3 linked regions of the Oryza sativa Japonica Group genome follow. Each later gene encodes a partner of the first gene's protein in a complex. Links are inferred from orthologs where the notes say so. Each region holds a gene or a part of one and is shown on either strand. Other genes may lie near its edges. The genes, in order: SWR1 complex subunit 2, actin-related protein 6 and actin-related protein 4.

What was found.
Region 2: SWR1 complex subunit 2 (region 1) and actin-related protein 6 share a complex: the UniProt entries of both Arabidopsis thaliana proteins name them as parts of the SWR1 chromatin-remodeling complex. The link is inferred for Oryza sativa Japonica Group from reciprocal best matches to the Arabidopsis thaliana genes SWC2 and ARP6.
Region 3: SWR1 complex subunit 2 (region 1) and actin-related protein 4 share a complex: the UniProt entries of both Arabidopsis thaliana proteins name them as parts of the SWR1 chromatin-remodeling complex. The link is inferred for Oryza sativa Japonica Group from reciprocal best matches to the Arabidopsis thaliana genes SWC2 and ARP4.

The regions. Positions count from the first base shown.
Region 1 is NC_089042.1:5,452,265-5,456,530, forward strand, and holds the start of SWR1 complex subunit 2, read right to left. Parts: upstream 2,826-4,266; 5' UTR 2,601-2,825; coding exon 2,530-2,600; intron 2,427-2,529; coding exon 2,357-2,426; intron 2,104-2,356; coding exon 2,032-2,103; intron 1,907-2,031; coding exon 1,863-1,906; intron 1,779-1,862; coding exon 1,514-1,778; intron 1,333-1,513; coding exon 1,254-1,332; intron 840-1,253; coding exon 720-839; intron 576-719; coding exon 507-575; intron 371-506; coding exon 328-370; intron 1-327. UniProt on the Arabidopsis thaliana protein: Component of the SWR1 complex which mediates the ATP-dependent exchange of histone H2A for the H2A variant H2A.F/Z leading to transcriptional regulation of selected genes (e.g. FLC) by chromatin remodeling.
Region 2 is NC_089035.1:9,333,413-9,337,818, forward strand, and holds the start of actin-related protein 6, read right to left. Parts: upstream 2,882-4,406; 5' UTR 2,602-2,881; exon of another isoform or gene 2,367-2,601; intron 2,285-2,366; 5' UTR 2,209-2,284; intron 1,162-2,208; 5' UTR 1,075-1,161; coding exon 380-1,074; intron 1-379. UniProt on the Arabidopsis thaliana protein: Component of the SWR1 complex which mediates the ATP-dependent exchange of histone H2A for the H2A variant H2A.F/Z leading to transcriptional regulation of selected genes (e.g. FLC) by chromatin remodeling. Binds to the promoter region of FLC chromatin.
Region 3 is NC_089042.1:2,095,453-2,099,727, reverse strand, and holds the start of actin-related protein 4, read right to left. Parts: upstream 2,843-4,275; 5' UTR 2,730-2,842; coding exon 2,717-2,729; intron 2,623-2,716; coding exon 2,531-2,622; intron 1,186-2,530; coding exon 1,012-1,185; intron 926-1,011; coding exon 852-925; intron 263-851; coding exon 182-262; intron 1-181. UniProt on the Arabidopsis thaliana protein: Involved in several developmental processes including organization of plant organs, flowering time, anther development, flower senescence and fertility, probably by regulating the chromatin structure.

The sequences.
Region 1 (4,266 bases):
ACATCCTACAGGTGGTCTTACAGTGGCTAGAAAATAATAACAAATCGGCTTCTGTGGGATCATTTCAAATTGCCAAGTCAAAATAATGTAGCTATTTCACCAGAACTAGATGGCAAACAATAACAAGGATGTGGCAAACAGCATTTCAAGCAATGCAATGTCTAAGGATAAACACTCTGCTAATAATGTGGAGATGTTAAACAAAAGGTGCACGTGTGCACAATTTTATTTAGATCAATGCAATAAACACAGCAACAGTTTCGGCTTCAGAAAAGGAACATCAAAGGCCAATATAGGTCACTTCAAATGTGCGCTCAGAGAACATACTTGGCAGGAAGTCCAGTTACAGCACAAATAGATTTCTCTGGATCTGTAATGAAGAATATTATCATGAGAAGAGGAGGGCATATAAGTAGTATGAGCTCAATCTGTCACGGATGCTCACATTTAGTGATTACTGGCAGAGGCAAATAACAAAGAATAACCAAATGAAAGTTTGCACTTACAAGGAGCTGAGGTTGTACAAAGTTCTGACCCAAATGATGCCCCGTTGATGAATTCCAAGCGTGACTCCCCTAATTCAGCACAGAACTGATAATAAGCTATTGAGAACACCTAAGGTATTGGTTATCATAATTCATAATGTAGAAAAAAGAAGCTAGTAATTCCACATTCCAGATGCAAACAGATGCTTGATGATATTTTAATAGAGAAGTTACCATCTCTTGAGCAAAACCGAATCGTAGGACCCTCATAAACAGCTTTATGAACAACGGCTTTTTTCTTAACCTCCTCCTCTCTTGCCAATACACGTTCAAGATTTCTCAGGTTGATGATCTCTGGAAAAATATACAAAAAATGCCCCAACGTATTAATGGCAACAATTAAAGCTGGCTCGTTACAGGTCTGCAACTTTTAGAGATCAGGCAAATTACTACACAGCTTTTGGAAGAAAAGCCAAAAGAAACATAGTCTTTTACAAAGTCTTTTTTGACAAACAGCAAACTAACAAACTAAAGACAGAACTGCTCGGAATTCCAGCTAACAGGAAGCAGGTCCATACATCACGATAGCCAGAAAAAGGACCCACCCAAATTCAACAAAACCAGACCTAAAAGACAGCACTCTCTCAACAAGACAAACTCATACTCCCAAATCGTCAGGTAGCAAACTAGGCGATCGCATTTCATTCAAGGCCTGCATCATCTCTTCTTGTGAAAACTGGAAAAGGTTTATAAAAACAAAAAACATACCTGTTTCAGCTGCTTCCAACAGCATCTCTTCTTGTGTCATACGCTTTTCTTCTCCCTCCTTTTTCTTCTTAATAACAGGCTGAAGCCATTTACAAGATGAAAAGTGAGCAAATTAAACCCTCAAAATGGAAAAATGCCATGGATTGAAAAACTAATATATGAGTAACACAATATTCTTTTGCCTGGCCCATGGGCAGCCACAATGCACTAACAACAAAATTTGATACAAAGAAGCTAAGGACTCAATGTGGGCATACAACCTTCATCGTTGCTTCTTTCTCAGCACGTATTGCCTCCCTCTCAGCTTGTCTGACGATGACAGATGTTCTAGTTGATTTCCTGATGGTCTTTTCACCGGTCTCCAGTTCATCAGGAATGTCTGTTTGCTTAGATGGACTTTGCTGATCTGAATACTTGTCAGTTTTGGAATCATCTTCCAGCTTTGGGACCACCTTCTTCTTCTTCTTGGCATTGATTTTTTTCATAGTCTTCCCAGGGAATATGAGTCGCTTTTTGATAGGTAATCTGCTTCATGATTGAGTTGTGACATGAGTGTAGAACTAATATACACCATATTGTGACTTGCTCTCAACAAACACATGTACCTACCTCTCACGTACTTCCTTTTCCGGTTCATCATCAGGTTCCGACTCCTGGATGAATCCAAAGGAGTTACATCAAACAACTATGTGCAGTGCTTAGTAAGTAGAAGCAGAAGAGCAGCACACCGGTGAAAGCTAAAATGATTAGGAGCAGCATGAAGAGGGATCTCACTCACATCTTCACCAAAATCACTGTCGAATTCATCACCAGCATCCTGCTCTTCCTCGTAGTTGTCATCTTCTTCATCCTGGTAATAAATATGAGCAAACAATGAAGAATAGTATTTGTCATCCTGCTTAACCAAGCAATTGCAGCAACCAACAGCATTGACGCAAGTCGCACAATTAATTAACTAAATGGCGAACTCAACAACAACGGAAGCTATTCTAATTATCTGTCCCGAGCACACTAAAACAAGATCCAAGACCCGCTAAAAGAAATCAAGAAATGATAAGAAGAAAAGCAGCAGAATGCGGGAAGGAAGAGAGTGAGAAGAGAACCTCCTTGAGGGCGTCCTGATTCCAGAAGACCTCGTCCTGCTCAACCTCATCTTCGAGGAGCTTGGTTATCCTAGGAAACGATGACAGAATTGAATTGAGCGGCGGGCGAACTAGGTATTGCAGCCAAAGGGATAGAGCGAGCCATAGAGGATGAGGGGGAGGGAAGCGCGCACCTCTTCCCACGGGTGGCACGAGAGGCGCGGTCGAGGAGGACGGGCGGATCCTCGTCGGCGAGGTCGGCCATGGCGGCGGCGGCGGCGAGACGGCAAGAAAGTCAACGAAGAAGCAAAGGTGGGCCGCAGCGCACGTCGGCGGAGGCGGCGGCGCCGGCGAGGAAGGCCCGCGTGGGCGGCGGGTTGGCGGCGGCGGAGGTGGGCGGTGGCGGTGGCGGTGGCGGCGGCGGGTTTCGGTGAAGCGATTTGGGAAGGGAATGGGGGACGGGACTGGCTAGGATCGTTTGGGCTGGGCTGGGCCCACCTATTGGCTGGGCTCGTTTGTTAAGGGATAGTTGGGCCAGCCCAAACTATTTCAAGAAAAAGTCCAACAAATACGAGTGACATATGCACGAGAAATTTGATAATTTAACTTTTTTTTCTCAATTGTGTTTAATTGACACTTGTGAGGATAATATATGGGACCATCTGAGTGAATAAAAGTTGGTCAAGTTATCAAATAATCAAAGCTCATTTTAAGGTGTTAAATTATCAAATCTCTCAACATGCACCTTGTTTCATGATCCATCGACGACTGCAACATCTAGGAACTACCATCGTACAAACCAACTTATCTTAGAAATATCGTCGTCGTCAGGGTTTCATTCATTTCACTCCGTTCAAGTTGTGGAATGTCATTTGAAACATTAGAGCCCAAAATGATGGTAGCTACGTCTGAGCTAATAGCGAAATTTGACAAGATAGAGTTGGATATCGAAGCGGAATCGAAGGAAATTGAATCTTGCCAAAACGAACTGTGCATCGGCTGGAAACAAAGTCAGAGTTTGATTGAGCCGATATGGCAAATGGTCGATACAGCTATACTTGGGCTCGGGTTGGGCTTCGATTGAGATAACCGTCATTGCCGTTTAGGGATTGAGCTCATTTAAGGGTGTGTTTGGTTCACGGTCAAGGTGGGCAGCCCCACCCCTCAAAAGGCAGTGGGCAGCCCCCTCATGCGCCGCCCGGTGAATCTGGCAGCTGGACAACCGGACACCCCGGCCGACCCAACTCCATCACGCCCACCCTCGCCACCGGTGCCTAGGAAAGGGTCGAGCTATACTACAAGTCAAGCAGTTACCCACTCTCGCTTGTGGCAAGCACGGTAAGTCTCACAGGGTTTCCCGTGAACCGGTCCTTAACTGCCATGGGTGCGACCAGCAAAACCATGCACCCACAGCCCACCATTCAGTGTATTTTAATTAACTAACACCATTGCGGTGGCACCAATCCAAAGCTATGCTAATAGTCAAAGTCTATGCAATAATATGATCCCCATTTGTGTACTAGTTGAACTAAGCACGGCAAAGCATTTCCTAAACCAATATCTAATCATTTTGATACCCAAGTTATCAATGGCATAAGGTAAACAATATATGGCTGAGTAATAGAACCCATCCCACGTGACATTGTAAAAGAATGCAACATTTAATAGAAATGCGGGATATTTGTAAATTGGGTACAATATGATCAAATGTAATGCATGACTTGCCTTGCTCTCGCACTGATGAGACCTCAGCAACGTCTTCGAGAACCCGCGGATCGACGAAACGGCCAAAATCTACGCGACAAACAAAACACACAAGCAAAACATGCGATAAGACTACTGAAACAGGAAACAAAAGCATTTTTAGTGGATTCTAAGGATTTTTATGAATTTACTGAGAGTTGAATGGACTTAAACGGAGCTCGGATGAA
Region 2 (4,406 bases), on another chromosome or scaffold:
AACCTCAACTGTATTCAACACGTGGACCAACTAATTATTTAATGAAAAACTATTACCATCTCAATCAGTGATTGTGCTGTCCCAGAAGTGCAATTCAAAGTTTCAAAATCTAGCTTCTAATAAAGGAAATACCAACCCTTCATACATACATATGAAACACAAAGCCACCTTTGTCAACTACAGCACTAAGTTCCAAAGATAAGATACTAAGCTATCTACATCTCATTAAGCTGGTTACACAAGCAAAACATTCTTAGCAGGACTTTCTGTGTGAAGGACCATTTGACCTTGAAGATAAACTTGAAATCAGGTTAAATTTGAACCCTAAACAATAGGCAAGCATGTATCCATATGTGGTGGGATGAGAATGGCAACAGACCTGGCAAGACGAAGATCACCAGGGACATCAAGGGATACAAAGCATAGTTTTTCCTTTGCATCATCAATGAGGAGTGTTTCATCCATGACATTAAGGGAGCGATATGAAATGAGCTCTTTGAGATAGTTTGTGAGGGCCTTTCCACCAAGGTCCATGCGCCGCACAGCATAATTCAGTGTAAAGTTTTGAAGCACGGGAGATGCATGAGTGAAAGAGAAGCCACAGTCAACAACAAGGCTACATTGAGCTCGAAACAGCGATGGCTGGCGGCTAGCCTCATAAAGGTGAACAAGGGAAGGGGCATCTGCAACACAAAGAGATTTGAAACCAAGCTCCTCAAAAACAAGCTCATCGGTTGCATGCTGCAGTGCTGGAGGGTTGAACTGTGGTTCCACCAGTAGCAACGATGAGTTGTTAGGATCCACCTGCAGTAGGTTGCGTATAACCCGCTCCCACACCTCCCGTTGCACTTCTTGATTGATGAGATAGCCACGATCAATAGGACGCCTCAATGTCATGCCAGTAACATCAACATCTTGTGCCTGCAGCTGGTCAGCAACTAGCCATTTCTTGGAACCAGGGGGCTTGGCCATACAGTTGGGGACAACAGCAGTCGGATTCATGTCCCCACCAAATCCAGCCTTCAGAAGACCACCCCCATTGTCTAGCACCACAACACCTGATCCACCCGTCATTATATGCCACTCTCCTTTTTCCTCCTATTCTTGCCTATCCTTGGTCAAATGAAAATCGAAATGGTATGATTGGATTTACAAGCACTCCTACATAAATAAAACCACACAACAGATGGAAATGGTAAATTGCCAAGATTGAAACAGCTAATGCTAAATAAAATCAAATGAAGTAGCCATCATGTTTGTAATCAATACTCCCTCCGTTTCATATTATAAGTTAGAAAAAATTAGCAACATCTAAAACACCAAATTAGTTTCATTAAATCTAACATTGAATATATTTTGATAATATAATGTGTTTAAAATACTATTATGTTTTTCTATAAACTTGGTCCAACTTAAAAAAAGTTTGACTAGGAAAAAAATCAAAACGACTTATAATATAAAATGGATGGAGTAGTTGCTTACGTAATCTGGGAAAATTTTGCTAAAGTGTAACATTAAAGAACAATACATAGCATCCATATCTCAACCAACCATGGAACCAGTCAGGAAAAAGGAACTCGGTTGTACCAAAAGCAATGCATAACATCAACATACAGCATGACAGACCACCAAGTATTTTAACCCTGCAAACATTGGCGGAAGCTTGATGCGACCAATATAGTTCCAACAACAGCTAATAGTACAGAGGTGGAGCTTCATGGAGGCCAACCTGGGTGTTGCCCCCTCAGCTTTGGCAGCAAACACATATATACTTAACAAGTATCTAGTAAGAAAATTTATTTTCTGCTCAATTGATTAGCAAGTGAAGAGGGCAGATGCTTTCTTGGAAGTTTGGTGTTCAAATCCTGAGAAGTCCATTCTTTTTCTTCAGTTTAATTGCTTACTAAATCATTTTCCTCCTATGGATGACAAACATTTTTATCTTAATAAAATAGCTCTCTTAAAACCTGTTAATTTACAATAACTTTGATATGTTGTCTTTTATAACTTGAGTGATCCTTTTCCACCTGTTTAACAGCTATACTTAGGTATAACATATATTTTTTCTTAACAAAAACATGCTTGGAAATTATTTTACAATATGAATAGCCCTTCTACAAATTCTACTTCTGCCATTACCAACATTTCCACTCTATAATAGCTGGCCCCATCTAGAATCTCTCTCAAGCTCCGCCACTGCAGTAGTACCTTTGCAAATCGGGCCTATAAGAACGCGATCCTCGGCCAACGAATCGTCACTGCATCGGCATCTGGTTCAGCAAAACTGCGCATAACAAAGAAATGCTAAGTTTCAAACCAACTGTTGATAGCAAGTCGAGAAGGGGTTCTATGTGCAAGAGTAGTACAAAAGCCACTGTTTCTCTCTTCTGCTTCTTCTTCTTCTTTTGCAAAATAGGCGTTGGAGATGAGCGCGCATTACTTCTACCCGAGTATAGATTCAATAGACTTGCTCGAAGTGTGTGACTTAAGCATAAAAGCAATAAAACGACCCCCGTATGGCTTACTACGGCATTAGGTATTCTCGAAAATGCGATATGGCGAAAGCGAAGACTAGAGAGGAATTTTACCCCACACAGTTACCTCGCGCGGACCAGCTGGAGGCGTGCGCAGGCGCCGCTCACATACGTACGGCGGCTGATGGCGGCGCCTACGCCGCTGCCCCCATCGGGGAAGGGCGGCCGGCGGAGCTAGCTGCTAGCCAACCTGGAGGGGGGGGGCGCTCCCACGGCGAGGAAGGAAAGGGGCGGCGGGGTTGTCCGTGGCAGCGGTGGAATCGGCGACGGTGGGACCGCGGGATGCGCGGCGGCGAGGGTGAGGGCGGCGGCGGCGCGGGTGTGGACGCTGTGGCGGAGGGGTAGTAGCGTTTCGGGGAAATCGGGGAGGGCCGTTGGATATAGACATATAGTATAGAGCATATGAGCGGTTAGAACTGTAATACCTAAGGCAGCGTTTGGCTAATGGGAAATAATTTTTCACCTACCAAAAGATATCTTTAAATTCTAACCGTTCATTCACCCTCTTCCATTTAATCATAACCTTTCATTCATTTCTCAATTCTAATCCCACCCTCTTTCCCATTATCCAAACACACCCTAATAGCGTAAGAGCATCACCAACAAAAGTGTATAATCCACCTCTAAATTTTTATTTTTGAGTTTTCTAAACCGAAAATAGGAAGTGAAAAAACTAATATTTTCAAGAGAAAACCTAAATTTATTTTTCAAAAACTAAAAGTGAACCATTCTATTAAACTTAAAAAAATCATTGTTTTGCTCCGTACCGTGCGTGAGAAGGCTCGCGCAGCCCTTCAGGCCAACCGCGACGAGGGAGAGAGGGGCTGGCGCCTACCCACTGTCTCGCGAGCGGCACGAAGAGGCGGTCGTACACCATCTTTGCTCTTCTTTACGTTGCCGCCGCCTCCACTGTTAAAGCCGGGGGCTCTCTCTATCATAAGATATGGGTAGAGTTTAGGCGAGGTGACACCACCAGCGATGGAGCCCTGGCGGGATCAATGACAGGGAAACTCTTCCATTGCCGCATAACTCACCTCCTCTGCCCCGCCTGCCCCGCTTCCTCTATGCCCTTCTCCCCGTATCCCCTTCCTTGTAGATCGTCATCGTGATGGACAACCGCGTCCACGAGCATGTGGTTGAGACCACGGTGCATTGGACGGCGTGCGTGTCGAGCCACCGAGGTCCCGCCACTCATCGGATTGGATTCGTGCGTGCCGGGCCGCCGAGGTCCCGCCATGCGTTGGTGTGGTAAGAAGACGAAAGAAAGAAGAAACAAAACGGGAAAAAAGAGATTGATGGAAAATGTGACGGCAGTGGCACGATTTCAATTTTGTATAATTTCATTAGCATGGTTACGAATAGACGAATTGTAATGGCATATATTTGAAATGGACATATTTGCAATTGGAGTAAATTGCACCCATGGTACACCAACTTGGCAAGTGGGTGCGATATAGTGCAAGAAGTTGAGAATTGAACGTCCGAGTGCAACAACTTGATAAGTGGGTGCGTTCTAATACAAGAACTTGATAATTTACTCCCTCCGTTCCATATTGTAAGACTTTCTAGCATTGTCCACATTCATATAGATGTTAATGAATCTAGACATAATATGGGCAATACTAGAAAGTCTTACAACATAAAACGGAGGAAGTAGTATTTTGGTGCATTAACTTGGCTAAGCATATGCTAGGTGATTTTTTTTTCACGATGTCAATATAACATTACATAATCCTACGGATATTACCTTATAGTATTGAATGTAATCTTTAAGAATTATATTGCACATATAATTTACATCCAATTACCTTTTAAGAATTTTTTGTTTTCTTCACCTTCTCAAATATCAACTAAATATAATAATTTATACAT
Region 3 (4,275 bases), about 3.4 Mb from region 1:
TTAAATGGAGAAGTAGAAAAGCATGCAGTAAATCCTGGTACCAATACAGTTCTCATGACTGATAAGAGTCATGGAAGATAAATGTGCTATAAATCAGCTAGTTCATATAACAAGCAATGTTTTTCAGGTTTGACGCAACTTAGCAACACAATTAATTTAAATACAGAACATATAGGCATACTTCTCTCTTTGCTGTCCTGTGTTTGTAGATGGTTCAGCTATCAACATAGGATGCTCCTCAGGATTGATCAATAGCCGCTGCCTGAAATGTAGAGCAAGTCAGTGTGAAGATAAAAGCTAACAAAGCAGAAACTTCAATAGTTGCATATCCACACCATATAGAGGAAATCCTAGTATTTAATCAATGTTAGCTAATAGAGATGCCACAGAATCCAATAAAAGTAAATAACCCAAGAAGGAAAGCCTTATCCAGTTTGTACACGTAAGAAGGAATTTCACTATCAGTATATTTGAAAAGCACAATATTAATATGTAAGGTAAAAAGATGGTGGGCAATGGCATAAAGCAGTAACCATGTTGACATCCAAAAGATGCCCTAGAGGCCTAGAAGATGAACTTTGTTGCAGATTCTAAGCAAACTATGTTAAATAGAGAGTATGGTTCATCCCAAACTTCCCCAGAATCAAGGAAGGCATGTTTGGCCTTTTGCAGCAACTGGCAAGTGTTTGGCAAACCACACAAGCAATGTGCCAAACCTTGTTACTCAAGTGCCCCGCATGTCAGATATTTATTTTCTAGTCAAGTTTTGCCACAAGTGTGGCCAGCTCTTTCAGCGCGCACTTTTGGCACGACATTACTCAGATCTACATCAAATAGATAGTTAAACTCACCTGAAAGCATGATTCCATATATTGTCAACAATATCCCAATCAGTAACTGTTCCATCTTTCATTGGTGAAATCACCTATTGGGTAGGAAGAGAATCAGTAAACAATAGTTAACAAAATCATGAGCATCAATATTGATACTTGAGAATCTGCATAAACTAACCTCCATATGATCCCTCCTGAACTCCAATTCTTGACCAACATACAATTTGCGCTTTGTCTTGGCTTTGTCCACATCCATAGGTTTGGCTCCATTCTTAGAATCTGATGCAGCTTCAGCCTCCTTGTCTGCCTTTGCTTCATCAGTTTCTCCCGTTTGCTCAATTGAACCAACAACCTTAACACAACAGAATGTGCACCAACCACAGTAAGAACTTCTAAAACCAAATTACCCATTAGGTAGCTCAGATGCATAATCCCATGAACCAATGACATATCTTGCAACTACTGCCACGTTATGTAGAAAAAGGAGAAGAAAATATGCTAATCTATTAGCAGCGACATCAAATAGTGAAACTCAAAAACACTTTTTCTGTGTGATTCACACACCACTTTTTAGTACCTTACAGCTGATTGTTTTGCTATATGTCACTAAATTATATGTTTTCTCACTTCCTCGGCAACAAAGAGAAATTAGCAATCTACTCCAAGAATTCAAATTACCCCAATATAAGTCTGTTAACTAAAGGAAGAAAAAAATTTTAAAAAATAATACTGTAGAACCTAAGACAAAAAAATACCGCATCCCAAAATATAGTAACTTCACCCCCTACTTCCTCATCTCAACCAATCAAAAAAATCATATCCCCCATTTAATTCCACCTACTTCCTTAATACCCGTGCAAAACTCTAGAAATACTTATATTTTGGGACAGAAAGAGTACAATCCTATTTGACATAATACACAAGAAAAGTACTTCCCGTTACAAACACAGTAACCAGAAGTTCACCTGTCATAGCATTTGAAGTTAACGTCTAGTACCAACATGTAGCAATTCCACAGAAACCACAATGCAGATTCTTTTAGCACTTTAAAAATTCAGTTTGGCATTTGACTCTCAGTGCACATATGCAACACTGCTAACTACTACCTATGCGAGCAATGGCACAGGTTTGCAGCTAAGACAAAGCTGAAAGGTAAACTAACAATGCAGTCAATACATCATAATTTTGCACGCATATGTCAAAATCAAAAGGTAAGTGCAGGTCTTATCTGTGGTACTATCCAATATCTGAGTTAGCCTGCTACTAACATTTTTTTTAAAAAAAAAACTGCTGTTATTCATGTTCCCAGACTAAGATCCAGTGCTCGAATAAAACCATTAATCAGGTGGCTGGGGACCTAGGAGGAACTAATGCACGCAGCAAAATTCACAGCTTGACCTAAATAATAAACATATGTCTGTATATCATGACGCCACACACTAACACATCATTCTTTTTTTTTTCAAATCAGAATTCAAAGTCAACGACCTAAAACAGCTCAAAATTATGGGGAGAAAACACACAAAATTGCCAGTGGGATTGCATTGCGCACAGAGCCCTATCATTTCCATGACACCACCCGCACGAACTCTCACCAACAAAACACAGACCACACAGTTCCAACTCCGAGACAGAATTACAGCGAGCCAACCCAGGAGGGGAGAAGAAGAAGAAGAAGAAGAAGCATTCTGCCTCACCGAGGGGAAGACGGCCTTGGGGGTGTCATCACCGGCGTACCCCGCCTTGCAGCTGTAGGACCCCACGTCGATGACGATGGCCGAGACCTCATCTGCGAAAAAAACCAAGCAGCGCCAGTGCCACAGATCTCTAGGGTTTAGGGTTTAGCTCGGGGATGGACGGGGGCGAGAGAGGGGGGAACTTACCGCCGCCGTACATGGCTGGGGAGATCCGGGTGGCCGCCGGCGAGGGGGATTCGGCGGCGGTGGTTCGTCGGCGGCGCGGAGGAGAGAGGTCGGCGGCGGCGGGGTCGGGGGGAGGAGACGACGGCCAAGTGAAAGGGAAGAGAGGAGGAGAGAAAATGAAGGATTTTTTTTTCTTGTACCGAAATTGCCCCCCGCGTCGGATCGTCTTAACTGGAGCTTATCCTAGCCGTCCGATACGGCCCTCAGACCTCAACCAATGTTCCCTCCGTTTCACAACCTTCATCACAGTTTTCTTTTCTTCTTTGAAACATAGTTAAAATGCATACGCCGACAACACGCACACAAACTACCTCTACGAGCACCTCTAGTAAACTGAGCTAGCAAATCTTGAGAATTGAGATTGATGAAATCACCACAGGTGCCTCGCTATCAACTGGTATGTCGCTTACCACTAAAAGAATGATTAGGCGTAAATACGAACACACATGTCACATTTAGGATTTGAACCCGAGTGTGCTGGTTTCATCACAAGGAACTTAACCAGTTGAGCTACGTTCATTCTAGATTTTCACTAAACTACAGTCTCCACCGTCCTAACAAAAATCAACTTCTGCATAAAAACAAGTACAATTTAGCTCTTTTTTATTTATCGTAATCTAAAAGTAAATTACACACGATACAACAACTTAGCGGGTAGGTGCAATATAGTGCAAGAACTCGAGAATTGAACGCTCGAGTGCAACAATTTGACAAGTGGTTGCGTTTTAGTACAAGAATAGCTAGGCATATGCTAGGTAAGTTTTTCTCACGATGTTAATATGTCATTACATAGCAATCCTATGGATATCACCTTATAATATTGAATTTAATCTTTTAAGAATTATACTGCACATCCAATTACCTTTAAGAATTTTTGTTTTCTTTATATCCAAATCCACGCTAGTATATTGTCAACATAAGTACTTAAAAATTGTATGTATAAAAAAATGCTCTCAATAATTAAACTGCCACATAACTTCTTAATTTATTTTATTAAAATCGTACATATCTTGCAAGTTGTTGCATTTATACGATCACTTATAAAGTTCTTATACTAAATTGCACCTACATGCCAAGTTGTTATACTAGAACGCTCATTTCTCAAGTTCTTACACTAAATTACACCCACCTGCCAAGCTGATGCACTGTGGGTGCAATTTACTCGTAATCTAATCATTAAAATGTTACCGATGGTCAAAATTAGAACAATAATGGTCAATACAAGCAAATACATAGAGGCATAGGGCATATAGGGTTTGTTTGGTTTACAGCCAAACTGAACCATTCTAGTAGGTTTTTTTTTTTTTTTTGATAGAAACCATTCTAGTAGTTGGCACTTGGCAATACCAAAAAATAAAAAGTGGCACCCATTTGTTTGAAGCCAAAATATTTGGCAACTCATTTATAACTATAGAAATTTGAGCTGGGCCAATCTTTGCCATGCAACTTTGGTAACAAAGCAAATGGCAACTTTTCCAAAAATCTGGCATAGCCGAATCTTCCCATTTACAAAAAGGCCC